7 linked regions of the Solanum lycopersicum genome follow. The main gene of each other region encodes a partner of the protein of the gene in region 5 in a complex. Links are inferred from orthologs where the notes say so. Each region holds a gene or a part of one and is shown on either strand. Other genes may lie near its edges.

Region 1 (3,434 bases), on a different chromosome or scaffold from region 5:
TATTTTCTTCATTAAAAGTTGGAAAAGGAAAGAGAATGATAGGCCTCCAATTACAAACTGGAAGGGAGAGACCTCACCAACTGTGTGGCTCTAAATTGGGTTGATTATGTGATTGGGATTTATTGTCTCATATGGACCAAAAAATAGTCTTTGACTTTTTCTCACGAATTGATGATCTTTAATTTTTATCCTTAAATTAGTAATCTTTTAACTTTTTGTACATGTCTATGGATCAGAGTGTCTTTAGTTATGACCTAATCTTAGAGATTTTTGTTGTTTTATTTGACATAAGTTGTATGTTATCATTCGTAAGGCGTAAGTTTAGAGAACATTTTGTCTTGTAGAAATAAGTTAAGTCTGTTGAGGCATGATTTTGTGGGTTTTAAGACTGAACACATTTCTCGATAAACATAAGTTCCATAGAAACTAAGTTATGTCTTATAAGTCATAACTCATGAGTTATGCCAGAACTAAGTTTATGTTTTATAATAAGGCATTATGAATTGAACTTTTATGCTTCGTTCTTTAGGAATAAGAGACATAAATTGTTTAGATTAGATACGAAAAAATAAAATTGTCTTGTGGTTTTTTATTTTATTTATTTATTTTCGATGTTAAGAGTATTTTCAGACGACTTTTTTGTTATCGCAAGTGATGAAGGACAAAAATTATCCTAAAAAATTAACTACCACCCCATGGGTACATGCGTATGACCCTTTTCCACAGTGGTAAAGTAAAGAAAAATACTAAAAACTGATAGGTTTATTCAGCTCAATCAGTTGTTGGCAGAATCTCAAGAGATGAACACAAATTAGAGAATCTTGCAGCATATAAAACTTCTGAAAATTGAATTAGCTCCCCTTTTAGCAAATCGAAGCATAATGTACATTAGCACCTAGTAAGAATTAAACTGAACATAAACATTGACAATATCAAACAAAATTATTCTCTTAGCAACTGTGCCTATGAATGCTTCCACACTGATATTGACAATATGAAGTTTGGATCTCCTTTCAAACTCCACCTACTTTGTATCCTAACTCTCATAAAATGGAAGCTCTGATAAGGCGCCGAAGAAACTTAGGTAGATGATAGAAGATACAATATACATGTCTCGCTCAATTAAGCATTCGGAAGCTTGTACTCCAGCATCTCCCTTACGTTTAACCGAATGGATGGCCCCATCGACGAGCATACATGTGCACTCTTCCAATAAACTCCTTTAGCACCTGATGGTTTGTTTGCTTCCACCGATTTCTGTTCATTCAAAGAAATGCAGTTGAATTAATTTACAATGGCTTCTACCAGCCTCTCTACCTCCATGAGGTAGTTGTAAGGTCTGTATACATTCTACCCTCCCCAGACCCCACTTTTTAGAATTTTACTCGGTATGTTGTTGTTGGTATATTCAAACTATTCTGGAACAAAAGTATAAGAAATAGGAGCTAACGATAAAACTTACCACTGCTGCAATGAAGTTTATGATAAGATCTTCTTCCGAGAAATTTGCTTTTCCAAATGGCAAGTGAACAATTCCAGTTTTATCTGCTCGGTATTCTACTTTACCCTTTTTGAATTCTTCGATAGCCTGGAGGAAGTACAACAAGTTTACATACTTGAAAACATTTTCAAGGAGCAAGAAAATAGTCCATTAAGTGAATCATCACTGCCTACTCATTAACTACATTGTTTCACATTTTGTTAACTCTGAATAACTTCCAAGCTAGGATATATATGGTGTGGCTTCCCATTTAATATAAAGATCTAGGGATTCCACCATTGCACATAGAACATAAGAAAGAGAGTATTTTGATTCAACTTTTTCACAAGAAGAAAATATTTGACACGTTACCTGAGGTATATTTGTAGTGACAGTACCAGCTTTTGGGTTTGGCATGAGTCCTCTAGGACCAAGGACCCTACCTAAGCTAGCAACCTGCCGCAAATAGTAGAGAATGTATCAATATGAATTCACAAAAAAATTACGTAAAATGAGCCACAGATACTTGTTCAGGTGTTAATAAAACTAATTTCTAGACAAGTCACTTAAAAAGGTTCAATTTTTTGAATCAGCTGTCAGTGAGCATTAAAATGGTAAGACGGGGAGAGGAGCCTCTGCGATTAATCACTCAGCTTAAGTTAGGCTTAATATTGCCATCAGTCCTGCAGCATTAGATTTATGATAAAGTAAGATGGACCATAATTCACAAATATACAATGCAGAAGCTGTTCCAAGATATGGCACATGAAGAATGTAAAACTCATGCACAATGTTACAACAGAATTTTATGATTTAACTTTTTCAGAAAGAAGGCTTGCTAGAAAATATGCAGATGCTGACTAGCCAGATTTTGAGGTCAAGGAATTTTAAGAGCACCAACCTAGCAAAATATATGAACAAATGAACATGGAATGACAGAGAAAGACTCCGAAGGGAATGATAGAATTTAACAAAATATGTTTTATTCAACCAAATCATTATTTTAGTTGTGAAGTATTTTCAGAAGAAAAGATACAACAGCTAGAGCTTTTCACCAGGTCAAGTGAGTTGGTTCAGAACAAGCTACGCATTGTTAAGTTATATATCCAGGTTGACAAGGCCCAAACGCATGCACAAAAACTTTGGGAGCGAGATATGCTGAATTATTTGAGACAGACAGTCGCTCTTTGCCTTGTGCAAACTTCAATATGAGATTCTTAAAACCAAGAGACAGAAGTTCATAGGCTGGTTGTCGAAGACAGTATAAAAAATGAAAAAGGAGATCAAATTGAACATCAAAGGCAAGTCAGACATTTTTAATAGCAAAGACTGTAGAAACACCTTAGGCATCATATCTGGTGTTGCAATCAATTTGTCAAACTCCATAAATCCTCCCTTTATCTGTTCTATCAAATCCTCCCCACCCACTATATCAGCTCCTGCATTTTTCGCTTCATCGAACTTTTCACCTGTAGAATTTTAGCTGCAACACAATTAGCGTGCCGAAATAGTGATTACAGTTCCAAAGAAAAATTTCAAGACCAAAACATTCAAAACTGCAATTGTGACCACATCCCAAATATAAAAAAGATCCTAGCATATTGCATTCAATCTAGGGTTACAAAAACTAGACTAACAATCACACTAAAAAGGAAGATTCATATGTCTGATCTTTTTTTTTAAGAAAAAAAAAACAATTCTGAAAGTTACTCCTTTTTCTTTGGGGTGCGTTAAAAAAAGTAGGGTGAAAGCTGCAAGTTCACTAGACAATCTAATTAACCAAGGCTGATTTGGGATGACAACCATATATGATATTCTAGTTTGCAGACCATTTCCACATTATTACGCCCAGTTACTTGTATCACATCTACACTTATGTTAAATGACATTTTAATTTATCAATACAAAATAAAAATGACTATTTTCTAGAAGCAATGAAAGGAGTTCGATAACG
Region 2 (4,271 bases), on a different chromosome or scaffold from region 5:
TTTCACTATTCAGAAGGTTCATCATGGTTAGACATATTATAAGTGATGATATTAAAATGGAAAGGAAACAACAATGAAGGCATCAGAATAGAAGGATATTCATCTCAGCTTCATGGCTTGTTAGCATAAATTCAAATGGAGAAATTTTAAATGCTAAACTTCTAAAGATAAATGAAGAATAGTAAAAGACAGCTACGCAAAATTAACCAGAATTAGTTAGATAATATATTTTAACATGTAACAATTCTCTAAGGATATTTTACCAGACACATTATACACTCAAAAAATGAGCACCACCATTAAATTCTTCATCGATCTAAAGGATATAACACATCCTCGATTTCATCAACTTTCTGTAGTCTAACTCGTCAAGAACAAGGTTTTTATTGACCCAAACCAACACAAGTACCCTATGAAAGTAGGTTCTTTTACTTTAATTTCTCCCAGAATCTTCTGGCTGTGTTCACAATAACATAAGTGGCAGGAATGATTTCAATTTGATAGAAATAACAACAGCTTCCCTTTTGAGTTTCTTTTTTCCTTTTTTAAGGGGCGGCAAACAACCAAAGAATAGGCTTAGATATCTATCTTGGAGTACCAGTATGGAGATCTAGCAAAATCAGAATGCAGCATTACAAGAACAGGTTAAAACCAAATCAAATGACATAGAACCTGAAACCACTAAAAAGCACATTCATACACACTTTGAAAGAAAAAACTCTGTACAATTTGAGCAGAATAAAATGAAGCCAAGGGAATAAAGATTCAGCAACATGGTATATACTATAAATAACTGTGACTTTCTAATATGCGAATATAAATAAACCTTAGAGGAAGAAAGGAGAAAGGTGGGGGATCAGGGAGTAGAAATAAGTATGGGACTCCACAGCCTCACACACATCAAGTGTTAAGCATTAGGACAAATTTAGAAAACGTAAATAAGATATCGCCCGCAAATACTCCTTATCACATACGATAAAAGATAAAAGCAGAGATGTTAACTCACCTAAATGTGAATATGGTGGAGCTAACAAGAGAAACTCTTTGCCTGAAATCAAAGTAAATGGCAGACGAGAAAAGGGAGCGGGTAGGAAATATTTAATAACATACAAATTACAGTAATCAAGATTCATGAATAGTAAAAACTTAACTAGAGATAAAAACAATTCTTATTTTTTTTTTTTTAGAGGAAGAAAACGTAAATAACATATATTCGAGACATCACCAGCCAGATGGTAAAAGTGCAATTACAGATTTTTCTATTCAAATTGTACGCCAAAAACAACTGATAAACCACAAAACAGTTAAAAAACAACAAATCAACTCATTATCCCTGGAGATTGGATCCACCTCATCTCCTAGACCTTTGCTTCGCCTTCGAGTCAAAATGGTGAGCTCTAAGCTTTTTCTTTTTCGTAAAAGTTGTCTGTCCACCAGAACCTTCTCTAAATGGCATACCCATGAGAGCCAACAATCTGTGTGCCTCTTTATCTGTCTCAGCTGTTGTTGTTATGCAAACATCCATCCCTCTTGGCTTACCAAGAGCATCATAACTTAACTCTGGGAAGACACTCTGTTCACGAAAGCCAATGCTATAATTTCCATGACCATCAAAGCTATTGGGGTTTACGCCTTGAAAGTCCCTCGTTCGAGGAAGCCCCAAATTAATTAACCGGTCAAGGAACGAATACATTACATTCCCTCGAAGTGTAACAGCAATTCCAAGCGGTTGACCTTCTCTAATTTTGAAAGTAGCAATAGCATTCTTAGCCCTAGTCTTCACAGGCCTTTGCCCTGTAATTAAGGCCAAATCATTCATTGCTGCATCCAAACCCTTGGAATTTTGTGCAGCATCTCCTATACCACAATTTACCACAATCTTTTCGACCTTCGGAACCTAAAACACGGTTTTTCCACATTCCGTATCAAATCAAATTAAAACTAAAAAATAATAATAGAGTTTGAAGCAATAGGTCAATGCAACTAATATTCACTGTGATTTCTCACTCCTCAAATGATAATAGTGTCAAACAAACTAATTTCTCAGCATTTCAACTCTAAAATTCAACATTTAATCAAACAAACAAGAAACAGTTCAAATTTGTAGATATAAGTTGTAAAATTTGAAGCTAAAGAAGTACATATGCTTTGAAATTGAAATTAACTTGAAAAGTATAATTGAAAATTGAATTTGTGTTTGAACCTGCACTAAGCTTTTTTAAAAACTGAAAAATTTGTTCAATTCCCCCATTTTCCCTTTCCCAAGCCCTAATTTTTATCTGTTCTGGAAAAAAAATGCAATGGACAAACGACTCCTAAGTTTACCTGAAGAATATTGGTGTAACTGAATTCTTCCTTCAACAACGGCACAATCTTTTCGAGGTAATTTGTTTTCAGACGATTAACTTTTTCAGCTTCACTTTTATCCACTAGTACTGTTGCTGAAGCTTTCACCGTCAATTTATTGGACGACCGGACCTTGGTATTTCCGACCGGCAATCGAACGGAGTACGCCGGAAACTCAGCATTGTAGAAAGAGGAGGCCGTGGAGTGTAGAAGAAGAGGAGAAGCCGCCATTTTCTCTGAGCTTTTTCTCTCTGTGTGTGAAAAATAAAAGGGTAATTGGATAAGATGTTCTTTGTGGATATAACAGAGTTCTCTCTACTAAATTTTAATTTGTGAATGTTTAAGTAAAAAAAATTCGGATCCATTTCGCCATAGATTTTTCAAGTAAAATTTTTTACGTGAACATCAAAATAATGATGTAATATTCAGTAAATAAGAAAATGACGATATGATTATTGATAAAAGTGACGAACAATATGTTTCGTCTACTTCATAATGTATGCAATGATGCTTGTTGCACTATCTCTGAATTACCATATTGCTTCAGTGACATGGACACTAATTGTTACGATAGTGAATCTTTTTATTCTATTTTGTTATGCAATACAAACTTATAGTTAGTTTTGATAACTTTTAAAACTTATTAGTATACATTTCTTAAAAAAAGTGAAATATGTTTCCAAAAATTAAGCCAAACATATGATGAAATTTATGGTTAAATGTTAGCTTAAGTTTTGGGCTAAAAATTATTGAATGAAGATCGTATCAAATCAGGAAAATTGTATATAATAGCAAACTGTTAATTTAAATTAAATGTTATAAATATACTTTGATTTAATTGTACCCTATAGCAAACTATTGCTATTTCCGCCACTCTCCCTGGTGGAATCTCGCTCGCCACTCTCGTTTTGTGACAGTCTCACTCACCTCTCTCGTTTTTTATACAAACACAATTGTATAAAATGTGTTTGCGTTTGTATAAAGTGAGAGAAAATTGTATAGATACATATAGTTTTGTTCACCTATCTCAAATCTCACTCACCACTCTCCCGAATCTCCCTCGCCTCTCTCGCTTATTCAAACAGAAACGAAATGTATAAATTGCATTTCTGTTTGTATAAAGCGAGAGAAAATTGTATATACACATGTAAATACATATATCTTCGTCCTATACACTTGTAATTATACAAAACAAATATTCTCCTGCTCAGTTTTCTTTTGTCTTTCTCTTTTTCTCGTTTTATACATACACAAATGGCAGATTATACAATTTATCTTTTGTATACAACTGCTTTCTTTTGTATATGTATAGTGAATTATACAACTGCTTTCTTTGTATATGTATATAGGGAATTATGCATATTTATATTTGTCACCGAGCGCAAGTATACAAACTTTGCTATATCATACAAATATAAATTTTGTATTTGTTATATATGAAATTTACTATATCAAATTTTATTGGCCCAACAAAAATTTTTACCAAGAAAATATTGGGGTCTATTAGACTGGAATGAGGTAGGCCCAAGTCTAAATTGGTTTGTGGGCTGGATAATTTTTTGAAAATTTAACGTCGTAGTGGCCCATTTCATTAAATAAACCTAATCTTTATTATTTAGCCAGTTTCTTCACTGGCATGTCTTTGTTTACATTTATAGCCTAATTTCGCTCATTTCTTCTATACTTGTATTTACTTAGATTATTTGAACTTCGTTTATAATTTATTTATTTTGGATGAGTTTACCTTGAATAAAGGTGAAAATAAAAGAATTTCACATCGAATGGGATTGGAACCTCAAAAGTTGTGGTAGAGTAGAAAGTACGAATATATTTTTATCAGAAATTTTAAATTCAGAGTTATAGAATATAATTTCTTTTGATATATAAAAAGTGTTTTACATTATCTGAATTTTTTTAATATGAAT
Region 3 (5,129 bases), on a different chromosome or scaffold from region 5:
AAAATAAATAGAGTAGCTAGGGTTTGATTTAATTATGCTCCATAGTAAACGTTTGCAAAAAATTGTCAGGCACCTCTCTCCCAAATATCTCGCTCGCCACTCTCCTCTAATCTCTCGCTCGCTTCCTCACTTTTTATACAAACACAAGTGTATAAAAATTGTTTCTAATTATATAAAATAGAGAAAAATGTATAAATACATATAGTTTTGTTCCCTCTCTCCCCTCTTCCAGATCTCGCTCGCTACTCTCCCAAATCTCGCTCGCCACCCCTCGCCTTTATCACTTATACAAACAGAAGCGAAATGTATAAATTGCGTTTCCGTTTGTATAAAACGTGAGAAAATTGTATATACACATTTCTTCCTATACACTTATAATTATACAATAAAAATACTTTCCTGCCCGGTTTCTTTTGCCTTTCTCTCTTTCTCGTTTTATAAATTTTCAAATTGTATCTAATTTCTCTCTTTCTCATTTTATACAATTCGATTCAATTGTATATTTCTTGTCAAGTCTCTTTTGTGTTTCTCTCTTTCTCATTTTATACAAATTCAAATTGTATATAATCGTTCTACACACTTATAATAATACAATTCGTTTTATACACTTCGTTTTTATACAGTTCTCTGCCCAAGTATCTTTCTCTTTCTTGTTTTATACACTTCGTTTTATACAACTTGTTTCAACTGTATATGTATAGCGAATTATACAGTTTCTATGTTTGCTATAGGAAGCAAATATACAAAATTTGTTATAGCATATAAATATGAATTTTTTATTTGCCATATGTGAAAGTTGCCCTTATTTATATGTGTAAATACAAAACAATAATGTATGAGAGACAGAAAGAGTACGCTTTTACAAGTATGACTTTGATGAAAAAAATATGGCTAAGTGAATGTAAAATACTCTCCCTCCGGATTTAGATGACAAACTTTTTTTTAGTCAATTCTAAAAGAACGATACATTTCTTTATTTGATAAATAGTTAATGACACTGTCAATATTTTGTAGATGACTGGATCCCACTTATTCGACAAAACGTCTACAAAGTTGTGTTCTTTCTAAGGATAGTTTTGAGATATACAAAGTATTTTCATATTTTTTAAACTTCGTGTCCAATGTCCACTACTTAGTCAAGCAACACCACATGAATTGAGACGGATGGAGTATTATGTTGGGCTGTTTTTTTTGGATAAATTTTAGAAATCACATAATTTTAATATGAAATTATAATTCATCCCTCTTTAGTTTGTAATTTCATTAATCCCTTAAAAAGTAACACAAATCGGATACATTTATATGTAACTCGAATACATTAAAGAGTATCTTAGATGCATTATAGCATAAATCGGATGCATAATATGTAGTTCAGATACATTAAAAACTAGATCGGGTACATTATAAAATAAATCGCATACATAATATGTAACTCGGATACATTAAATACTAGCTCGGATACATTAATATGTAGCTCGGATACATTAAAGAAATAATGGATTTTAGAGGTCTTTAGAAATAAAAGGGGATATATGAAAATAAGGAAAATATAAGACGTGTATTTCAGTAAGGGTAAATGATAGAAATCTCACTTTTAAGTTCTCTTACTATTATTATCCCCTATTAGTTTTACAAATCTCCAAAATCCCTCATTTTCACACATCAAATTAACGTATCAGCACATCAAATTAATGTATCTCGCACATCAAATTAATATATATCACGCATCAGATTAATGTATATCGCGCATCAGATTAATGTATCTTGTATAAAGTGTACATCAGATTAGTGTATTATGTATAAATGTAATGTATCGTACTTAATGATTAATGTATCTCACACATCAGATTAATGTATCAAATGATACAATAATATATTATTGTATCATTTGAGAAATTTTTGTAATTATATACTTGTAAAAAACAAATGGTAATTTTGCCTTAAAAGTATGTGATTTCTGTCCTTCGCCCAAATAGCCTAAAATATTATAATTGGACTAAGAAATGGGCTTTACATGAATTGTCCCAATAAGTTTTGTTGGCCCATTAAGACATCCATTATCTTCTTCAGTTCGCCATTACAGATAAGATAACGCTATAAACTGTAAAAAATACAGAAAAACGGAGCAAAAAGTGAAGAAAAGAAGAAGGAAGACTTAGCTATGGCGTCATGGGGTTCATCTTCTTGTCTCCAAAATTACAGCTTAACCAAAAACCCATTTTCCGAAACAGTGAAATTTTCAGAAAGAACTTCAATTTTAACAATTGTTGCTCAGAAAAAAGCCAAGAAAGTTCGAAAGGTGAGCTAATTCTTGAAAATGTGATAATGGGTTGGATTTATAATTGTCAAAATCTCATTTTTTGTCCATTTATGGTTAATAGCTGAATTGGGTATTTTTTGTTTTGATGGAACAGATAATACTGAAAGAGGATATTTCACAGTTGGGTAAAAAGGGAGACCTTTTGGATGTTAAAGCTGGATTCTTTAGGAATTATTTGCTACCATTGGGCAAAGCTCAAATTGTGACAGCTGCACTTATCAAGTAACTCGTTTAACTCTACTTTGAACTAGATTTTTGCCATTTGATTTCATTGCCTTTTAGGTTCTTCTTTCATTAGCTGTACTTTTGTGGAGTTCGCGGTTGTTTGGTAGCTTGGTAGAGTTACGCAGGTATCAGTTATTTCGTCTTGTAACCTGCATAAGATAATACATTATATATTAGTTAGGTAGGTTTTTGAATTACAAATTAAACTTTGTGTTGATTTTATACATGAATAACTTATTCTCTAACTAACTGCCAAACATTGTATTACTTATACATTAAGTTAATATATGAGTAAGTTGCTTTTTTACTAGCTACAAAACACCCCCTTAATGTTTGTTAAAATTGGTTCTGCTTGTGTTGGATGGATTTTTAAGTATTCCTTTTGGAGACTGTTAGTTGATTTTAAGTGTTGAATATTCACATTTCCAATCACCCTGTATAGTTTAACGGCATAATCCACAGTGTGTCATGGACACCTGATGTTGATGTGGCAAATATATTTGGTTGGTGCCTAGATGATCATTTTGTAAGTTGGAGTGTTCAACTGACACAGTGGAGATGAGTTGAGGTGTAGATGTGCATACTCAAAGTTGGAGTGTTTTCTTGCTAGTTGATGCCGAGTTTGAGTGTTTTCTTGCTAGTTGATGCCGAGTTCAAGTGTCTGTTTCTGCATTATGACTAGTTAAATTATCGACTTAACCTTATTATTGAACTCAAGACTTTGGTTCTTCTGTTCGTTATCTTATTTTCATGCCTCATAATTAATGTCAGGATTCTTTGGTTCAACTATTTAAAATGCCACACACAATACTTTGCTTGGCTGTTGATGAGTGGAAGTATGTTATTACTATTGCTTGTTTTGTTTTATCTTTTATCTAAACCAATGGACCTATGTCGAATGGAGATAAAATAGGTATACTTAGTCTATGGGATCCTTTAAACTAATTGTAACTAGCTGAAAAGTGGACGGACCCATGGATTATACATATCTTCGTGCAAAGGTCGTACCAGAATAATCATTTTCGATACTCCTTGAGCAGAAACTCTGTATGGCTTTGGTGTTATAACTCTTGGTCAGTACACAAACTCTGTATGGCTTTTGTTCCCTGAAATAGTGCTTCGTATGATTAATGATTATAGGTTTAAGTAAATTCGCTTCTTTTAACCAAATATAATTTATTGATAACGGATTCGTCTTCAATACAATGTCCCACAATGCATAAGATGGATAATGGTTGGATATAAAACTTTAGATTTCCTACTACTTAGTGACTTTGTCTTTAGCTTTTGGGTGAGCAATAGGCCTAACCAGCTGTTAACATTAATGGTGTGATAGTCCTGTAAAAGTCTTATATATAAGGGATTTGCTATTTCATACTAAAGAACAAAACAAATAGGTGAAGGCTTCGTTAGAGATGGTTGTTAGAAGCAATTTTGGTTTGATATTTTTGATAGCTATTAGCGTGCTTCGCCATCAGTGAGAATTAACTAACTTCATGGATGCATTTTTATTTTATAACATTATGTACTTTTTACTCAGGGAAATGAAGATGGAAGACGAGAAAATTGAGGCTGAAAAACAACGGGTAATTAGATTATTCTGATTAATCTAATCTATTGAAAGTTGAAAAATATATACATTTTTTTTTTATTTTCAAGTCACTAAAAGTCTAAAAGAGTTTCATAATGAATGTGGTTTTAGTTAAACGTTTTTGATTTCAGGTGAAAGATGAGGCACAACAGCTTGCTCGAATTTTTGAAACTATTGGAGCCTTCAAGGTGAAGCGTAAGGGTGGGAAAGGAAAGCAAATATTTGGAAGGTCAGTGAAATACTAAATTGTGATGAGCAACTTGGTGAATATTTGATCTACCTTTTGACGTCATCTCTCTTGCAGTGTCACTGCTCAGGATCTCGTTGATATTATAAAAGCACAGATACAGAGGTACCATTTTCCAATCTTTCTGCCATAGCATGTAAATAGTAGTATGCGAACTAATTACTACTATATGTTCATTGAAGACTGTTAAAGTATATTGTCCTTCATAAGGTTGATCCTGTAATATGAATTTGCATGAACTTGAAAACTGATGTTCTCTGATTCATCTGGTTTATTAAGTAATTCAAATATTTTTCATGCAGTGCTTATTTTCTTGTGTGATTCCTTCTGTGCGATGTTACTTACTCGTTAACATCAGTCATCGAGAACAGTGGAGTATACTGATTCCATTTTCCGTCTATTGCTAGAGCAAAAACTGTTTTTTTGAAGCAATGTGATGTCTGTTTCTTGATCACATAGTAGCTTTCTACTACCCCTCTGTCCCCGAAAAAAGAAAGAGTAGAAAGGATTGAAAATCTGTTATCTACTTTTAATAGGAAGAAAAGTGAGGGGTGGGTGGGGATGAAAAAATTGTCGTATAAAGTCTTGAAGGAAATCAGATGTACTAACTGATTTCCTACTTTATTGTATATTCACACGCAATCTACTTGTAGGGACGTGGACAAGAAAATTGTCAATCTGCCTGAGATTCGAGAAACCGGAGAATATGTTGCCGAATTGAAGCTGCATCCAGAAGTTACAGCTAG
Region 4 (4,875 bases), on a different chromosome or scaffold from region 5:
CCTATTGGATTAATTTTCTATGGTATATATAATAAGATAACTTATCATATGACCACAGATTATTCCAAATTTAATATTCCTTCTAATATCAAATGAACCCTTTTATGTACTACTCATTATTCTTTTAAATATACTCTCATCCTCCTAATTTATATGAAACGGTTGTTAAACAGTTTAAATTTGATCATAAATTTGCTGATAAAATCTTCAAATTTCCTTAAAATTAGAAGATTTCTCTTACTACTAGCTTCTGCGGCGGAATAACGTGGAAGGTCTCTGAAATTGGATTATTTTAGTTGTGATTTTACCAACTGAACACTTAAACCGAATGAAAACTCAAAACTCTTTTGGTTGTGCTATTGTGCAAAGCTGCATCTTCTGAATCATACATTTCATTCTGTACTCATACAAACTGTGACAAAGACTCATGCTTTCAGTAACACAATTTACAAACAAAAAAAGACAACAATGGCAGAAACACAGTTTAGAAAATGTGCCTGCAAATGTGTTCCCAAGTAGCTACTAGCAATAACCAAAACGACAACAGAATGTTTGAAAAATCGAAAGACCATTATCAGCAAGTGGTGATGGGATTATCTTCAGAGGATTCAGCAGCAGAAGCAACTATCAACTGAGGCTCAGGGATGACACCTTCTCTTCGTGCCTTTCTACGTTCACGTTGTAATCTGAAGGACTCTCTCTTTCGGTTTCTATAGCTGTTGGGGTTTTCAGGTTGCACCTCGCGTGGATAAACACTTATCTGCACAGTCAGTATACGTTAATAACACTCGTGTACCACATATCTACAAGCAGTAAGCTAAAGAACTCAACCTTTTTCCTGTCAGGTCCAAACTTTTCAAATTTGACTAGTCCATCAATCAAAGAAAATATTGTGTGATCTTTGCCAAGTCCAACATTCTTTCCTGGGTGGAACTGGAAATATCACCACGAGAACGATTAGGGAACAGAATATATGGCAATGCTAAACGGAGAATGCAACTTTTGAACTACTCTTAGAGCAAACAAACAGACGATAACAGGATCATATCAGAGCCGAAAAAAAGTAAAACTAATACCAACCTCTGGCATAAACCCTTTTACTATCTAACTGATAGAAGACGACATCTACTCATAGCATCATACTGTCAGAAACTGACACTTTCGGCAAAGAAAAAAAACTCAAGTCGGATTATAACAAATGTGCATTTCTTAAAGAGAACTTCCAACTATGTCTTCACGACACGAGCTCAAAACCTTAAACCTTATAGCAATCTGTTACTTCAAATGACAAGATATGTATCCCTCTAGTACCTTGTTTTGTACTCAATCTAACGCCCTCTAGACAATCCACATATTTCTAACAAATAATATACAAACCAAACGAAGAAAGCCAGACGAATGGAGCAGAGTTATTGACAAGATGCCAGGACCTAGTATGTTTGTGAGGTATTGAGCAAAAAAACTGGAATTACACTCTACTTGGGTGGGTTCATCCGAATTCATTTCAAGCACTATTAATTAATCAAAAGAACTATCAGAACTTCCACAGCAAATACGAGTTTTAGGCAAAAATAAAAAAGAGAGAGGAGATCCAGAAGAAGTAAAATTGAAACCTTTGTACCGCGCTGGCGAACGATTATAGAACCGGGCTTGGCGACTTGGTCACCATAAATCTTGACACCAAGCCTCTGTCCAGGAGAATCTCGACCATTCTTAGTGCTACCAGCTCCTTTCTTGTGTGCAGACTCAATTGTCAATGGAGATTTCAACGGGAAGGAAACGGAGAACTTAGGGGCAATGGGAAGAGAAACCCCAAGGAGAGAATTGGAAGATAAGGAGAGTCCTTTGAATGAGGAAACAAGACTCAAACTCACTGCCATTTATACGCTGCAAAGAAAACAAAGAAATTCAGTAGCCTCTCGTGGTACTTACTATCAGAGATGAGAGGCCTAAAGGAAAGGAAGTGATATTTAACAATGGGAAAAATATGAGCATAGAACTACTAAGAGGACAAAACTATTACCATAACAACTACCAAGGATCTTAATCGCCAATCTAAAATTTCCCCGGATCATCGCGAACACAAATTGGAGAAATATATTTTTGATAGTAAGTCTACAGAAGGTTTGACTCTGACTTTAACACTGCTCGGTATGACTAAAACAGTAGAAGAGTGATAAAAATGGTCCTAAACATATTTCCTAAGAAAAAAAGTTTTCCATCAAAAGGGGGAAATAACTACTCTCACTTATGAGATAAGTCATTTCCTTTTACTACGATTTCAGCTCTTTCTCCTTATCGCTCGCTCCAACCACTGTTTAGATAATATTGTCATTTCTTAATACTCAGCTTTATCAAAATATAAAACCAATTTGCTGAGCTTATTATCAATCTTCAAAAAAAATACAAAACACACACTCCTAACAATAGAAGTACCTTAAGTCCTCATTACAACTATCTTTACTCCATTATATATCTCTTGCATTTCAATACACATTACTTCCACTCATTGTTTTTCTTTTCAAAATTACACCAAACATCAACCCCCCTCCACCACAAACGCATTTCGCAAACTCTACACCACAAAATATTCCGCAAATAAGTCCTTACGCAAGCAATTGGTCATAAAAGAACCATATTTAATCATAAAGGACAAGTCTTTAAACCACAAAACAAAGAGGAATCAAAGGAAACCAGTATCAACAACAAAATAAACACTAGTATGTTCATCAAGATTGCAGTCCACCTAAAATATTAGTAGCGGTCAATAAAGTAGATTGATAACCATAACGTCTCAAGTTCAAATCCTAGTGAAGCATAAATACTAACCCCCTCCATTTCAATTTCCAATAGCAACTCTTCAATTCTAACTTTTCACATTAAACAACATTTTGATACATTCGACATAACATTAGTTTTACTTCAACCCCACTTGATTAAAAAAAAATCTTTACTTTCTTATATTATTTGCCAAAGTCGAACCACACAAACAAATTGAAATGGAGAGAATAGTAAACCAAGATTTGCGAGTCAGCTAAAATTAAATACATTTTCGAACACCCAATTAAACATAGTACAAGAAAAAAACATTGAATTTACAGAAGAGGGGAAAAGAGATGAACTCACCGAGGGGATTATGGAGCCACAATGGCAAAATCTTCGAGATAAAAAGATAAGAGAAATGTCAGCCATCCTTTTTATAATATACTTGACCCGTTTTGAATTGGGCTTTTTTTAGCTTGTTTTCGGGTTAAGTTTAATGGTTTCGTTTATCGAACATAAGTTATGGACATAAATTAATTTTGCTTATAAATATTGAAGTTGTAAATATTTTTATCGAACTTGTAAAGGGGAATAATATGATTTTAATTAGTAAAATAAAATGTTTTTTCAGATATCTTTTCTTCGAAACTAAAATCCAAGTGATTGTTTTTATATTTTTGAAAACGTTTTTTAATCTCAAATTGATATTCTGCGAAAAGTATTTTCAAAAAATGAAATCATATTTAAAAATTTTTAATTTAATTTTTATCGAGAAAATTTCATACTCCTACTTACGGGCATATATAATATGATTTTTCGATAAAAAGTATAAGAATAATTTTTTTTTGCATACCTCCATACAAGTACGGTTAAGAATGTCAAAATGAGCCTAAATATATATAACTCGTCTAACTCATTTAAAATTTTATAGGCGGGAGCTCTAGATATTTTGAATTGGATCAATCTCAACTTATTTACGTTTTAGCCCATTTTAAAATAATTTTTAATTGTGTCCAATGTAATCTCTAATTTCAACATGTTTTAAGAGTATTTTTTGTATTGGTGTAATTTATGTTCTCATATTGAATGCATAAATTAGAATCTATTTTATATTTTTTATGATTTATATATCAATTTTATAACTGTTTTTATTGAATTAAAATTCAAATAATAGTTATTAAAGGAAAATAACAATATGTTTAAATTATTGAGATTAAACATGTCAAATCGCACAGGTCATGATCCAATCCAATGTTTATCCTATTTGAGCCTAACATAATTTGAAGAGGTTATGATTCGACTTAAATTTTATTTGAACTCATTTTAATATTTTAAATTTTAATTCAACCCGATTATTTAACACGCCGACCTACAATAATGCCACATTATTCTTGAAAATTGCTCATATTATGCTTCTTGAACTAGTTAGTGGAATTGATTGCTCGAGTCAAAAGTTGTGTTGGTAAATTAAAGGATTTAAAAGAAGAATATTTAAAGTAAAATAGATTGTTTAATTTATTTACTTTTATAGGACAAGAACAAGTGGAGAATATAAATGCCATGAACCTAATTCTTTCAAAGAATAAATATATTTATTGGTTAAAAAATAATATTAGGTGAACATTTTAAATATATCTAAATTTCAATATATAAAATTAATACAATAAAATAATTAAATCCAACATCATGCTATATAATCTATATGTGCAAATACATCAATGGTTTTAACATGTAATAGTAAAATACCGATAAAGATTGTGATGGAAAATTAAAATAATTCAGAATTTCACCATTTTTAGTTAGAGATTGCAAATACAATCCTTTGTGAATGATTATTTTAATTACAAATATTGACTTTCAAAAATGATTTATACAATATACGAAATTGAATTTTAATCAGACTCAATACAAATATGCATAAAATACTAATTAAATTTATCATAGTTTTTCTCTAAAAATTATTTTGAACAAAACTTCAACTTCAATTTAAAAAAAAACTTAATTCATAAATGAATATTTTATAAATAAATAAATACACTATATACTCACTGTGTAAATAAATTATTTATACCTTACGAAATAATCATATTAAAAGTTAACTAATTATTTATA
Region 5 (4,513 bases):
GAAAAATTAAGACAACTAAGTTTCAGCGTCACGTGTTAAATATTTGACTAGTAAATGAGTTCAATGCCATTATACAAACCATTGACTTCTTTTCTCCAGACATCAGTGTAGCATAGCCCTCCACAATGTAAATTTTTCATTTTTCTTGTTCTTCTTTTGCTTTTTAAACAGCCTGGCTTTGAAATATGTAAAATTGATCAATGAGATAGTTTGTGCAATCCATTGATTCATTCTCAAACCTTCTATTTTGAGGCTAAAAGCAGAGTAGCAATTAGCGCTTAAACTCAAAAGTTCTAGTAAAAGCCTAGAGATACTCATATACTCTCCATCACATATTTTGATAGTACAAATGTCCAAGTTATCTGCCTCCATAGATAGTCTACTAGATATGGTCTGTTTCAAGGTTAATAATGCTTAGCATCCCATATGCCCCCAATGACTCAAAACAAAGTAAAGAGCATTTTTTCCTGCCAATTACTTTGTGTTTGTATTAAAGAAAAAGGTGATGAAGCTTTTTCCACCCAAATAAAGGTTTCCTTTTCTTAACTTTGCTTAATTGCTTCAAGCCTAAGACTCAAACACAAAGCTTTCCTAATCATTTTACTTTGCTGAATCTCGCCTGGCTGACAACTTGTAACCCATAAATCTTATATAAAGCTTCATCTACTAAGCAATTAATGTAGTTTTGCCAGAACACAAGACTTAATTAGTAAAGTAACTAATCACTCTTATCATAAAAATCAAGAACTCAAAGTGGTAATGAGAGCGGAACGAAAATCAAGAGTAAACTATTCCAACGAAGGTAATGGACAAATGCAGTCAGTGACATGAAATCAACCAAAATCACCTAGTTTTATCATACAATAAAATACAATTCAAAGTGAAATATACTAAGCTCCCTGTAAGGTAAAGCCTCCTCTAAAATGGAACAGACCCTTTTCGCCCCATGTTCATATATTACTCAGAACTTTCAGCACTCTCCTCCACCTCGCCACCTGAATGCAGCAAATTAACGAGTTAGCTAAAATTGAAAGGAAACTTCATACCCAAAATGAAGCAAAAACTAACCATCTTCTTCTTCCTCGTCCACCACCTCCCAGTCATCATCATCATCATCATCATTTCCGTATCGTTCATTCAAGAACTCCACAGCTGATTTAGTGAAAACCAGCTTCTCAGAATCCAATATGTCGAAAAGATTCAAAGTTCTGGGTGTCAACATCTTCAATGTGCTAATGTTTCTGCTGGAGAGAATCACATTGTCTGAAACTTCCGTCATCAAAAACAAAGATTTCTCTTTTGGGTCCAATCCCCATCTTCTCATCAAATCAATGAACTCCTTAGTCTTCGGTTTCTCAAACTTATCATCAAACTCTTCCACAACAATGGCATTCTGTGTAGCACTCGAAAGCGCAGTAGAAATCGCGAGTCTCTTTTCCTTTTTGTTAATCTTAACTGACCAATCCTTAGGTTTCGGCCCAAACACAACCCCACCACCTGGTCGTAAAGGAGTTCGGTTCGACCCACGTCGAGCTCGACCCGTTTTCTTTTGTGGGTATGGTTTGATACCACCACCCCGTACTTGGGCTCGGGTAAGGGTGGAAGCAGTACCGCGACGTTGGTTGCGCAGGTCAGTGGTAAGCCCACGATGAACGACGGCGCGTGCGGTATCAAGAGGGGCGGATTTTAAGTTGAGAGTGGTGGAGCCCACTTCGGTACCATCAAAGGACAGAATTGGAATAGTGGCGGCGGCGGCCTCTGAACGGATGGAGAATTGTTGTTGTTTGGGTTTGAAAATGAGTTGTTTCTGCTGCTGCTGCTTTGAGGAGTGAAGGGTGTTGGAGTTAGAGAAGAAAATGGTGGAAGAAAAGAAAGATAAAGAAGAAGAAGTAGCCATTTTTGCAGTGAAGGAGCAAACTGCAAGCCTATGGATTGGGTTATCCACAAATGAGGAAGAAGGATATCAAAATGTATTCATATTCTTTGTTCAAATAAATTTAGTGAAAATGGAAAAGTCATATATACCCTCAAAGTATTTGAAATTGAGCACATATTTGATAAATTTAGGGACATATTTGCGGAAACATGCGCTCCCTGCGGGTAATAACAAGAGAGTGAATCCTCCAAACTCAAAGAGTGATTGAGTCCGTCTCAAGCGAGTGAGTGAAAGGCGTGGCAAGAGAGCGAGTTCGACTTGCGAACGATCAGCAAGTGAAGGACCGATCCTTTTGCGCCAATGAACTCTTCAACTTTACGACGTAACAGACTCTCTAGCTTTACGAGATAGTGATAAGGTCTACAAATATTCTATTCTTTCTATGCTTATCGTTGTCAGAGTATATTTGATAATTTTTTCACTTATGAATCAACAAATGAGGTTAATCAAATGTTTCATTTAGACTAATAACACATTCAAAATGATAAGGTCATATATAAGCCAAACTATTGACGAAGAGTTGAAGGGCATGTCTATTTAATTTACAATACTTTAAGAACATAATTAAATCTTCTTTTGTGTAGGAAAAAAAATAAATTTTTTAGAGCGTAAGCGACAAATAAAATTTTTATGAAATGTGCTCTTTATTTTTATTAATTTTGATATAATATAAAAGTTATACAATTTTCTTGATCAAGTCTTTTGTTAGTTGGGGCTACACCATCATAAGCCCAAAACCTTCATTTTCTTTTATTTTGAGGCGCTATTGATGCAGCCTGCTACATATTGCCTTCCCTTTCCAATTTTTCCATGATACGCTAAGCCCAACTCGTATGTTGAATTCGGTTAAGAAAACAAACCTTGAATCTAATCTAACTGTAACATCGTAGCTAGCTCAAGAGGAAATAATTGTTCAAGATTATTTATGCTTATCAATCAATTTAAGACTCAACGCTCCTTTGCACGTTCATGGTCAGATATCATGAATGTAAGCAATATAAAATGGAGACCTAATATTAAATGATAATGAAGTGAGATGGACGTAACTTCAATACCATATTAGATTTAACTCAATTCAAAAGATAAATCGAGGAGATATGATTGTTCAAGAGTATATAAAGAAATCAATTTCTCCTCGTTCCACTTATGTTGAAACTTAACAAACTCAATTAAATTTTGAACTAATAATTTCAAATGTACCATAAAAATAGGTTCTGCAGCTTACATCCTAAAATTAGGTAAGCTATGCTTATTCCACATTGAATTAAAAGCAACAGAAAGTTCATAGGTCTTTAGTAAAAAGAATTTATACTAATATGGGATTTACAATTGCCATGAAAAACGTCTTAATCAATACTCCTATCTCAATGACTATCTATAAGTACTCCTTCATCCTTAATTAGAGATTTCAGATTTGAATCTTTCAAAGTACAAAGTCACCTTTACGAGGAAACAATGAATCCCTCAGTACTAATGTGAATCCAGATTAGTTGAGCTCCAATATGAATATCAGACATCAGGCGCATAAAGCATAGATTCACAAGATTCTTCCCAAGAAAACTCCCTACATGCACCAACAAAGTTAGTGAAATCTTCAACTCCATTTTGATCATAGTAACAATCCTTGAACCAAATATTCATATCATCATCATCACTAGGAGTTGAAGAATCCATGTCTGAATCAATCCAACAATATTCAAGTTCACCAAGATCATCACAAGACAAATTAGTTGAATTCTCTACTTTCATTTGCTCAAACAAAATTGAATCATTTGTATTAACACTAGGAACAATATTCTCTACTTCTAATGACTCAATCACACTTCTTAATAACTCTTCATCACTTGCCTCAAATTCTGGTTCTTCAAGAAATGACATGAAAACATCGTTCTCAATATTGCTAAGTGCAAGATTTTCATTATTACAATATGTGGCCATTGACATGTTGAATATGAGATAAAAGAGAAGTTGAAAAATTGAAAGATTTTTTTGGAGAAGATTAGCTTTAATTGATAAAAAAAAAAAATTAGAGGAAAAAAAGAAAGCAAGTGACAATGTATTCTCTCAAGAAAAAATGGCCTATAAATAGGCATATCAAAGTAGACAACTTGATCCTACCACATGGGGTGCATATGATAACCATAAAATTAGCTCATTAAAATATAATTTGAATAATCTTTTTTTTACTCCGAACAAGTTAATGATTTGCTCATTTTACTGTTTCATTCGTTTCATTTTACTTGTCAATTTTTTTCTATTTTACTTGTCATTTTTGATAAATCGAGAAAGTGCAATTTTTTTTCTTCTTATTATATACTTAATTTATTTACATTGAGTTAATTATCTTTGAAATTAGTGAGTAAATATATTTGGGACTCTTCGGTTAATAGAGATAAAATGGTAAAGTCACTATACTACTTATTGTTTTCTTTATAAATGTGTCAAGTCAAATTTTGACAAATAAATCCAAGCAGATTGAGTAATTCTGTGATTTTGATCAGTCTAATATATAATATATCTAAGGGATAATGTCCAAGTACCCCATCAACCTATGCCCGAAATCCCAGAGACACACTT
Region 6 (5,063 bases), about 1.5 Mb from region 5:
CTGATTTTGATTGAAAGGACCCTTGTCTATTTTTGTGTTCAGAAAACTGAATATAAGTGTAATTGGGGAATATTTCAGTAGGCATTTCATTAATGCTGATTTAGACTGTTCCTGTGGATAGCGACTTTGGCCCCTGTATTATAGATATATTCCAGTTTCAGTAAGTAAAAACGTATAGTTTCGATCCTTCAAGCCATGTTTGCATCTATCTAAGCATGAGATAATCTGTATCATGACATACATACATACATTCTTGAAACAGTTGAAAGAATCATCGATAAATGGACAAGAACTCGAATCATAAAGCACATAAAGATCATTGTATTCGACCCATTAACCATCAAACTCTAGTACGTAATAGTACTGGCAAACAGAATTTTTGAGTAAATGTACTTTAATATAAAATCTTATGTTACTGAGTTAAAAAGGTGAAGGTGACAACAGAATCATAATATATCAATGAGAGAAGATTCAAAATTAGCAAAATCGAACTAGAATTTACAGACCAGTGGATCTCCTAGGAAGCAGCAGCTACTGCTTCTGTTGTTTTCCCCTTCTCTTTGACTGCTTTCTTCCAGTTCTCTGCACTATCGATGATTTCCCCAGTTTTAATGAGGTACCGGACTCTTTTTCCATTGTCTAAAGTTTTGTGACCAACCCGACTGGCTACCTTCTGCTCTTTTGAATAAAGCATCACGTTTGAGCTGTGAATAGGAGCTTCAATCTGAAACAATAACAACAACTACGTCTCAATCCAAACAACTTGGGGAAGTTCAATCTAAAATCTTAACACAAAGTTTTACTTTCTTGTTAGGGCAAAGATGAATTCGATGCTAGCCACGACGAAATGAAATCTCAAGATAACAATTTTTAGGCAAGATAGAGAAGAAAGAAATCGAGATAAAACCTTGACTATCTGGCCTGGTTCCTCCTCACTCCGACTCTTCACATGCTTGGTTTTCAAGTTCACCTCTTTTACTACTATTTTGCTGTTGTGCTTGATGATCTCGGTAATCTCTCCAATTTTACCTTTGTCATGGCCGGAGATTACCTTTACAGTATCACCCAGCCTTACATGCATTTTGTGTAGTACTGGAAGGCTGTTTGGCTTACATTCTTTACGCTCCCATCGCTTAAGCTGCAAAATAGACATAAAAAGAAGCTCTTATTCAATGATAAAGCTAATTCTAATCACAATTCTCATTAACTGTTGTTTCAGCTAAAAGAATATCATACCCATAAAAATTAGTACCAAAGGTTTAGCAATACAAACATTTGGTGGCCATTTTTAAAAGCTGTTGACAAGTTAGTTCGAGCACTTCCTTCATTACATCATAAGTTATAAAAGAAATGCATGACCACATTAACAGCAACCCTATAAAAGTAGTTGCCGGAAATGTCTATCTCGGACAATATACTAAAGGACCAAAATGGATCAAGATACCAACCTTTGCTGTAATCAAACATGGACCTTCTGCTGATTTAACCTGCACGGCATTATATGGAGATTGTCATTAAAGTGGCAAAAGATTATCCAGTTTTACAGTTGACACAATAAAAAGTGACAAACTGCGTAAGGCGTGATATACATCCAAAAAGTGTTAACCGAATAACAAGCAAGTGCATTTTCTGGAGACAGATCTTATTCCATATTTGCTTCCAATAACTTCTGATTATACAGGTAACTATAATATGAGAACGATTTATTATCGAGGAACACAGAGGCATATGTATAATATGGGTTCAGCAGCACCCAGTAGCTTTAACTCAGACCCTATATATGTATTAAAAAATTGATAAATATGTCCAAATATTAAAATTTCGAACCTTAAGTCAAATACAGGGTTCATCCTATGTTAGAACTTGGAAGACATCAATCACAACAGAGGGGGTAAGTTTAAGTTAACCAATTAGCATATTCTTAATATACTTGACTTTTTGAAGAACTTTTGAGGAACTACTGTATCAAATTGTAGATGTCTTTATATATAAAATTATTCTCTTGCAGCTAGAAATACACTGTGTTTGGTATGTAGTTCCAACTTTCCTGTGTTACGAAAATATTTTCTTTAGGAAAACAAGTTCAAGTTCAAAATAAAGAAAATGACTTCCGTAGTGGAAGTAAGAAAAACAAGATGGATAAGTAGCATTTCAAGTTATCATCACCCAATCCCTCCAACTCCCACTTCTTGACCATATCACGTCCGTCCATCCCCGAATCCCCACTCCCCATCCCATCTCGCCTCCATAGTATTTTGTTGGATATATAACATATAAATGCTCTTGGAATAATATTATCTAGCTTAGTTACCATATAAACACTAGAAAATTAGTAAGTTCCACATTTGTTTTCTAGGTAAACATTTTCCTTCGTACCAAACACGCAGTCAAAACTTATAATAGCGAAAAAACATATGATATGAGAAAGGACTCAGGTAGCAATGGTGACCAAGCAGAGAAAAAGTTCACAATATATTGTAATCAAATAATATAAAATTAATTTATAATCAATAGTACAATGGAAATGGATACCTTTGTTCCTATGATCCCTAATACATAGAAATCAAATTATTCAAACAAAGACCTTTCACAAAGACAATTGAAATTGAGATAAACAGATAGGATATAGCCTAGTGGTCAATGCAGTGGTGAACAACTACGATTTATTGGTTCAAATCACAATACACTAGTTTATTTCTTCGCATTTATGTAAGACTGGATGGAGAAAGTTACTTGCAACACAATTCAATTCTGGCTAGAGGTAGCAGGTATTCTACGTAATTAGTCGAGTTGTGAGCAAGCTGGACCGAATGATACAGTTGTAGAAACAAAACAATTAACATTTGAGATAGTTCAGTTTGAAAACCAGATAGTTGAAGTTATGAGAAAGCATACCAGAGGAAGGGAGAGAGGAGGAGAGAAGCGTTGGCCGAAGAAGGAGGTGGAGGAGATGGAGAGACCAGTAAAGGAGCTCTGCAGAGCCGCCATTGTTCAAAACCTTCTGCAAAATCCTTTTGTTGAAGGAAGAAACAACACTGAGCTGAGTATTTGGATAGGATAATAAAAACCAGAACCTTCGTCTTCTTCTCTCTCTATCCCTGGACACCCGATCCAACTTAATTGGACCTTCAACGGGTCGAGTACGGCCCAATTATAAAGTCCCTTTTCAGCTATTTCGGGATTGTGGATTAATTACGAAAATCTCACCTTTTAGTTTAATTATTATCATTATCCCTTATAAGTTTTACAAATTTCTAAAATTTCACAATTTTCATGCATCACATCAATTTCTATCGCGAATCATATTATTGTATCCCGCGCATCAGATTAGTGTATCATGTATAAAAATGTATCTCGCACATTAGATTAATGTATCTCGAGCATCATATAGTGTATCATGTATAAAATGTACCTCGCGCACCAGATTAGTATATCTCGCGCATCAGATTAGTGTATCATGTACCTCGCGCATCAGATTAGTGTATCATGTATAAAATGTACCTCGCGCATCAGATTAGTGTATCATATATAAAATGTACCTCACGCATCAGATTAGTGTATCTCATACATTAAATTATTGCATCTCGCGCATTAGATTAATGTATCAACGCTTGTATTATTGTATCCGTTTTGAAGATTTTTTGTAATTATAAATTTGTAAAGTATCAATTTGCCCTAATTTAAGAAGGGAAAAATGATCAAGTTTTAATGTTTTATAGGTTGACAAAACATATAAAAGACGAATTGAACAAATAAATATATTGAAAAAAAGTATCGGGGGATTAAAAAATAAAAAAAGCTTGGTTCTTTTTTAATAAAATTAGATTGAATAGGATACTAATGTAGAAGAAGTGGAAAAGCCTGATCTGGGATTTTCCCCGTTTTCTACCATTCATTAACCTTCCACGCAAATTTACAAAAACTTAGAACAAAATTGGGAACAAAGGCTATCATACACTCAGACTATAACATACCCCTAAGTATCCCAAACGAACTCACCAAGACAAAAGTGTGTTTTTGTAAATAAGAAACCTAACAACCTGACCAATTTTACAAGATGAAACAAAAAAATAAACAAATGGAAGAACTGAGTTAAACTTCATACGAGTCAGCTGTGCTATCTATAGATTCAACACGTCGATGTCCAGAGATTGGATTCCGATGATCTACTTGTTCAACATTGATGGTAATCTCCTCTGCTGTTGCAGATAAAGATCGCTTCTGGCGTTTTCTTTCGTGTCTAGACTTGAGTATCCTTGACAGAACCTGCACAGTGTCCCTCATGGAAGGCCGTTTCTTGGCAGCACGATTCACACATTTGTATGCAAGTGCTGCTACATCATTAAGTTCTTGCAGATCATACTTCCCATCAAGACGGGAATCTGCGATTTCCTCCCATCCGCCTTTTCCATCTGTAGTCATGGCTGCCTACAATCATCAATCCTATGGAGCTTAGTTTCTATATGACTGAATAGGCTTCAGAAACATATGCACAATAAAAGAGGTTGTAGGGGAAGAGGGGGGGGGGGGGGGGGGGGGAGTGGAGGGGTTCTGAAAGTTACTCGAGATCAGTGCTCTCTACATGTGCCACAAAAAAAAGAAGTTTCACATCACATAATGAGAAAGAGAGAGAGATCTTACTAGTTCAATATACTCGATAAGCCCCTGAAGAGGATTTTTACCAGCAATAAGTTCGAATAGTAAAACCCCAAAGCTGTAAACATCACTTTTCTTAGTGAAGGACCTAGTTGATATATATTCAGGATCAAGATATCCGAATGTTCCACGGATGTTGGATGCATGTTTACTGACCATTTCTTCCCTTGACAGCCCGAAATCAGCAACCTGTGTATTAAACCCAAGATTGCAGTTATGCTTAATACCATTAGCTCAAAATGGTGTCGACATTTTCATTATGATAAACTCAGAATGGTCAAAATCTTCAGTGTGACCGCCTCAAAATGTGCCATTTCATTATTATCAACCAAAGAAACCTATTCTTTGGTTACTTCACTTTGGAGTGAGAAAAAAGAAACATACTCTGGCACTCATTGACTGATCCA
Region 7 (3,483 bases), on a different chromosome or scaffold from region 5:
GATATTATGTAATAACGAAAAACAATATAATCCAGTATTTTTGAAAACGTATTTGGGGCGAGTCTCAGGACGAGTCTCGGGAAGGGGCGTATCAAAAACACTTCGAGGTGTAAATTAAAGACGTAGATCCATTAGGCATAGGCATTAGCCCCAAGCATAAAAAAGTAAATCTTAGACGTAAAAACGTTCGCCCTTAATTATTTTATTTTTTTCTTCAAATCATATTCATGATATTTCTCAAAAAGTAATTATAGATTATTTTTTTTGTTCATTACCGATTATTAATACTTATCTCAAATAAAAATCATAAATCATTGAAAGATTTACTTTTGCTTATTTTATTAATAATTAAACTAAAAATTGAATATACATGTGATTATGCCCCTTAAAACTATGAGACTTACGTCTTGTGTCTCAGGACATACGCCTCACCATATACTATGTAAAAGATTTCACCTCACGCTCTGTCTTTACTATACAGATACAATCTATTCAAATATTATATTTATTAAAATAATATAATATAATATAATTGAAGCAAAGTCTAGGACCTGAGCAGAGAAAATAACAAAAATATCACTTGTGATTTTGATTACATTCAGAAATAATTTTTGAATATTCTTGACTCTTTAAATTTATTTTAAGCCAGCATTTTTAATTGATAAACTTGTAGATACAGATATACATACTTGAAAAAGGATTGACGAGGTGTAGAAGGAATAATATTGAATATGGTGAATTTTAGTAGTAAATAATTTAATTATTATTAATATTTGTATGAGTTATATTTGATAGGAGTATTATTTTATATTTAATATTTGATTTGACGTAAAGAAAATAATCTGTATTACATCAATTTTGAACAAAATTCTTTATTTATATAAGTATCTTTCACAAATATAGTAAAATGATGTTAAAAGAGTTTTGAAGAGCAATAGTGATTTTATTATGCTAATGCATGAATATTTTTTTTTACTAATATCCACATAATTCCATATCTTATATACACCTTAATGCCAAATACATCATATAATATTTGCATTGATTATACTTAATGCGACTCTACTATGAAATTCAAACAAAATTAATAAAATATTTTAATATAGAAGAAAAATTGATATGATTATTATATTATTTTTTTAAAAAAAAATTAATAAAGCATCTGAAAATAATGATAATATATATTTAAAATAACTGATCGAATCATAATTAATATCTTTAAATATAAGATAAAATAATTTTACATTTTATGAAATTATTATCTTTTATATATCATATCAAATCATCTCAAGAATTTTGTTAATAATAATAATAAAAATATATCTAACATAATTTTATAAATTAAAGACGATAAAATATATGTAAATATTACACCTATTTTGCCTTTTTTAACTTCTTTAATGGTTTGTTTGGTATGACATAAATATTTTCAAAAACATAAAGTTTATGAAATACCCCTAAATTCTATCTTAGCACAAAAGATAAGGCAATCCAATTCTCAAGCTATCATCAATGGAGGCTGCTCTCTTCAGCTTACCTTCCTCTTCCTCTCACTCTTACCCATTTTCCGTGAAATCCCACTTCAACAATCCCTTCATAATCCCCCATTCCAGTTCTCACCTCAAACTCAAACCCAGAACTCTAACTATTCGTTCAGCCATTAGCAGAACCAAGAAAGAAGAAACAGTCGAAACAGTGAAGCAACAGCTTGAAGATTGTTATCTCTTAGCTGGAATCAGTTACAAGGGGTTAACAGTTAAGCAATTTCAAGATCTTAGGGCTCAACTCCCAGAAACAACAAAGCTTCTTGTTGCTAAGAACACATTGGTACTTAAAGCAATTGAAGGGACAAAATGGGAAGCATTGAAACCATGTATGAAGGGAATGAATGCTTGGTTATTTGTTCATAGTGAAGAAATCCCAGCTGCTTTGAAACCTTATAGGACTTTTCTAAGGGAGAAGAAATTGGAAGATAATGATTTTACTGGTGGGGTTTTTGAAGGGAAGTTTTATGGGCCTGATGAGTTTAAGGTGCTTGAGAATTTGCCTACAAGAGCTGAGATTTATTCACAGCTTCTTGGGTCTTTGAAAGGACCTGCTTCAGCTGTTGTTGGGACTATTCAAGCTCCAGCAAGGAATTTGGTTATGGTTCTTAAGGCTTATGTAAAGAAATTGGAGGAGGAAGAAGGTGGAAGTCAATAATTTTTGTTGTAATTCTTGGATATGGTAAGCTAATACTATTGTCTATTTGGATCAATATTTGAAATTTTTCTGAGAGATGGAATTTTGTAAATTTTATGTTTTTGGTAGAATGAATTTATCCTTGGCCAATTGTTCTAAATTTGTGTCCTCGTATTTGGCGGATAATTATCTGGATTACTTCATAACTGTTTGAGAGGATTTATGTTATGTGAAATGTACTATTCTGCTCTTTCCATTATCACTGAACCAAGAAAATAGTCTGTATTCCTGCTTCAGCTCACTATATTTGTCAAATATTAAAAGGGCAGCTCGGTGCACTAAGATCTTGCTATTTGCTGAGTTTGGGCTTTGGTAGTAGTCTGGAGGAAGTGTGTAGCTTTATTCTTGCAGTTTCTTGCTATTGTTATATGTTGATCGCACTATATTGTTGACGTTATTGTTTCTTGCATGTATCCTCTGCAGTGCTTTCCTATTACTAGTTCTCATGTTTTCCTTATTGTCGTTTTCCCTTTTTGTTAGTACTTTCATTTACTTCACTTGAACTGAGGGTCTTTTGGAAACAACCTTTGTACCTCCACTAGGTAGAGGTAGGGTTTGCGTACACTCTACCTTCCCCAGACTCCACTTTTTGGGATTTCTCTGGGTGTGTTGTTGTTGTTGGGAAATGCCGGACCACGTTGCATCTATTGTTAGCTACTTTAGTTTGCATTTCTGCAAAAGGTTGTTTCTGTGCTTAAACCATGACCTCTTGGTGAATTGGGCAGCAACTTTTGCGATTGTACCAAACTCTCCTCTTCCTATGTAGTAAAATAGGGTAGAATATATAAAAAGAAAAGAAACAGCAGCATCAATCCTACCTCTTATAGGACGCATCTTCCACTTTGTAAGTGAAAGGGCTGAATACTCTGGCTTTGTCACTCAGTCCTTTATCTCCTCTTTTCCCCTTCCAGCATTCCAAGACTTACTTTAGTTTTGCATGGCTATAATCTGGTGGATGACTTCTCTTTAGAAATAAATTTAGTGCCTTTTGTTTAGGGAAAGGATGGACTAGTTGTTATGGTCGGTGAATAAAATTATTTTAGAACTTTAATGTTGTTTACTGGAATTAGTTAAAGGCCTCTGAAGAGATATTATTAGGAGGACAAGGGAGCAATGTCATTGATCTGGCACTTAAGCCATCTAATTTTAAATGGGTGAACAAGATTGCATTTTGTTCTATTTCAAAGCATGCCTATACTTCTGCTTTGAAAAAGCTACGACCTTTAGAGGCTCCAGGGGATT

The links.
Region 1: large ribosomal subunit protein uL4c (region 5) and large ribosomal subunit protein uL1c share a complex: the UniProt entries of both Arabidopsis thaliana proteins name them as parts of the 50S ribosomal subunit. The link is inferred for Solanum lycopersicum from reciprocal best matches to the Arabidopsis thaliana genes RPL4 and EMB3126.
Region 2: large ribosomal subunit protein uL4c (region 5) and large ribosomal subunit protein uL5c share a complex: the UniProt entries of both Arabidopsis thaliana proteins name them as parts of the 50S ribosomal subunit. The link is inferred for Solanum lycopersicum from reciprocal best matches to the Arabidopsis thaliana genes RPL4 and AT4G01310.
Region 3: large ribosomal subunit protein uL4c (region 5) and large ribosomal subunit protein bL9c share a complex: the UniProt entries of both Arabidopsis thaliana proteins name them as parts of the 50S ribosomal subunit. The link is inferred for Solanum lycopersicum from reciprocal best matches to the Arabidopsis thaliana genes RPL4 and RPL9.
Region 4: large ribosomal subunit protein uL4c (region 5) and 50S ribosomal protein L27 share a complex: the UniProt entries of both Arabidopsis thaliana proteins name them as parts of the 50S ribosomal subunit. The link is inferred for Solanum lycopersicum from reciprocal best matches to the Arabidopsis thaliana genes RPL4 and RPL27.
Region 6: large ribosomal subunit protein uL4c (region 5) and large ribosomal subunit protein uL24c share a complex: the UniProt entries of both Arabidopsis thaliana proteins name them as parts of the 50S ribosomal subunit. The link is inferred for Solanum lycopersicum from reciprocal best matches to the Arabidopsis thaliana genes RPL4 and RPL24.
Region 7: large ribosomal subunit protein uL4c (region 5) and large ribosomal subunit protein uL10c share a complex: the UniProt entries of both Arabidopsis thaliana proteins name them as parts of the 50S ribosomal subunit. The link is inferred for Solanum lycopersicum from reciprocal best matches to the Arabidopsis thaliana genes RPL4 and EMB3136.

Annotation. Positions count from the first base shown.
Region 1 is NC_090800.1:78,435,785-78,439,218, reverse strand, and holds the end of large ribosomal subunit protein uL1c, read right to left. Parts: intron 2,950-3,434; coding exon 2,822-2,949; intron 1,937-2,821; coding exon 1,853-1,936; intron 1,589-1,852; coding exon 1,463-1,588; intron 1,258-1,462; coding exon 1,123-1,257; 3' UTR 812-1,122; downstream 1-811. UniProt on the Arabidopsis thaliana protein: This protein binds directly to 23S ribosomal RNA.
Region 2 is NC_090808.1:1,642,568-1,646,838, reverse strand, and holds large ribosomal subunit protein uL5c, read right to left. Parts: upstream 2,747-4,271; 5' UTR 2,578-2,746; coding exon 2,326-2,577; intron 1,898-2,325; coding exon 1,352-1,897; 3' UTR 1,152-1,351; downstream 1-1,151. UniProt on the Arabidopsis thaliana protein: Binds 5S rRNA, forms part of the central protuberance of the 50S subunit.
Region 3 is NC_090810.1:57,591,217-57,596,345, reverse strand, and holds the start of large ribosomal subunit protein bL9c, read left to right. Parts: upstream 1-2,016; 5' UTR 2,017-2,161; coding exon 2,162-2,299; intron 2,300-2,414; coding exon 2,415-2,542; intron 2,543-4,085; coding exon 4,086-4,131; intron 4,132-4,267; coding exon 4,268-4,365; intron 4,366-4,440; coding exon 4,441-4,488; intron 4,489-5,036; coding exon 5,037-5,129. UniProt on the Arabidopsis thaliana protein: Binds to the 23S rRNA.
Region 4 is NC_090810.1:58,850,042-58,854,916, forward strand, and holds 50S ribosomal protein L27, read right to left. Parts: upstream 3,174-4,875; 5' UTR 3,127-3,173; intron 1,888-3,126; 5' UTR 1,881-1,887; coding exon 1,614-1,880; intron 934-1,613; coding exon 832-933; intron 761-831; coding exon 575-760; 3' UTR 352-574; downstream 1-351.
Region 5 is NC_090806.1:67,227,022-67,231,534, reverse strand, and holds large ribosomal subunit protein uL4c, read right to left. Parts: upstream 2,389-4,513; 5' UTR 1,898-2,388; coding exon 1,069-1,897; intron 996-1,068; coding exon 958-995; 3' UTR 769-957; downstream 1-768. UniProt on the Arabidopsis thaliana protein: This protein binds directly and specifically to 23S rRNA. May play a role in plastid transcriptional regulation.
Region 6 is NC_090806.1:68,735,770-68,740,832, reverse strand, and holds large ribosomal subunit protein uL24c, read right to left. Parts: upstream 3,119-5,063; 5' UTR 2,989-3,118; coding exon 2,896-2,988; intron 1,488-2,895; coding exon 1,449-1,487; intron 1,139-1,448; coding exon 908-1,138; intron 725-907; coding exon 518-724; 3' UTR 377-517; downstream 1-376. Other genes in the region: calcium/calmodulin-regulated receptor-like kinase, read right to left, coding at 4,093-4,428, 4,642-4,845, 5,041-5,063. UniProt on the Arabidopsis thaliana protein: One of two assembly initiator proteins, it binds directly to the 5'-end of the 23S rRNA, where it nucleates assembly of the 50S subunit. Required for optimal plastid performance in terms of photosynthesis and growth.
Region 7 is NC_090803.1:3,525,989-3,529,471, forward strand, and holds large ribosomal subunit protein uL10c, read left to right. Parts: upstream 1-1,408; 5' UTR 1,409-1,512; coding exon 1,513-2,202; 3' UTR 2,203-2,341; downstream 2,342-3,483. UniProt on the Arabidopsis thaliana protein: This protein binds directly to 23S ribosomal RNA.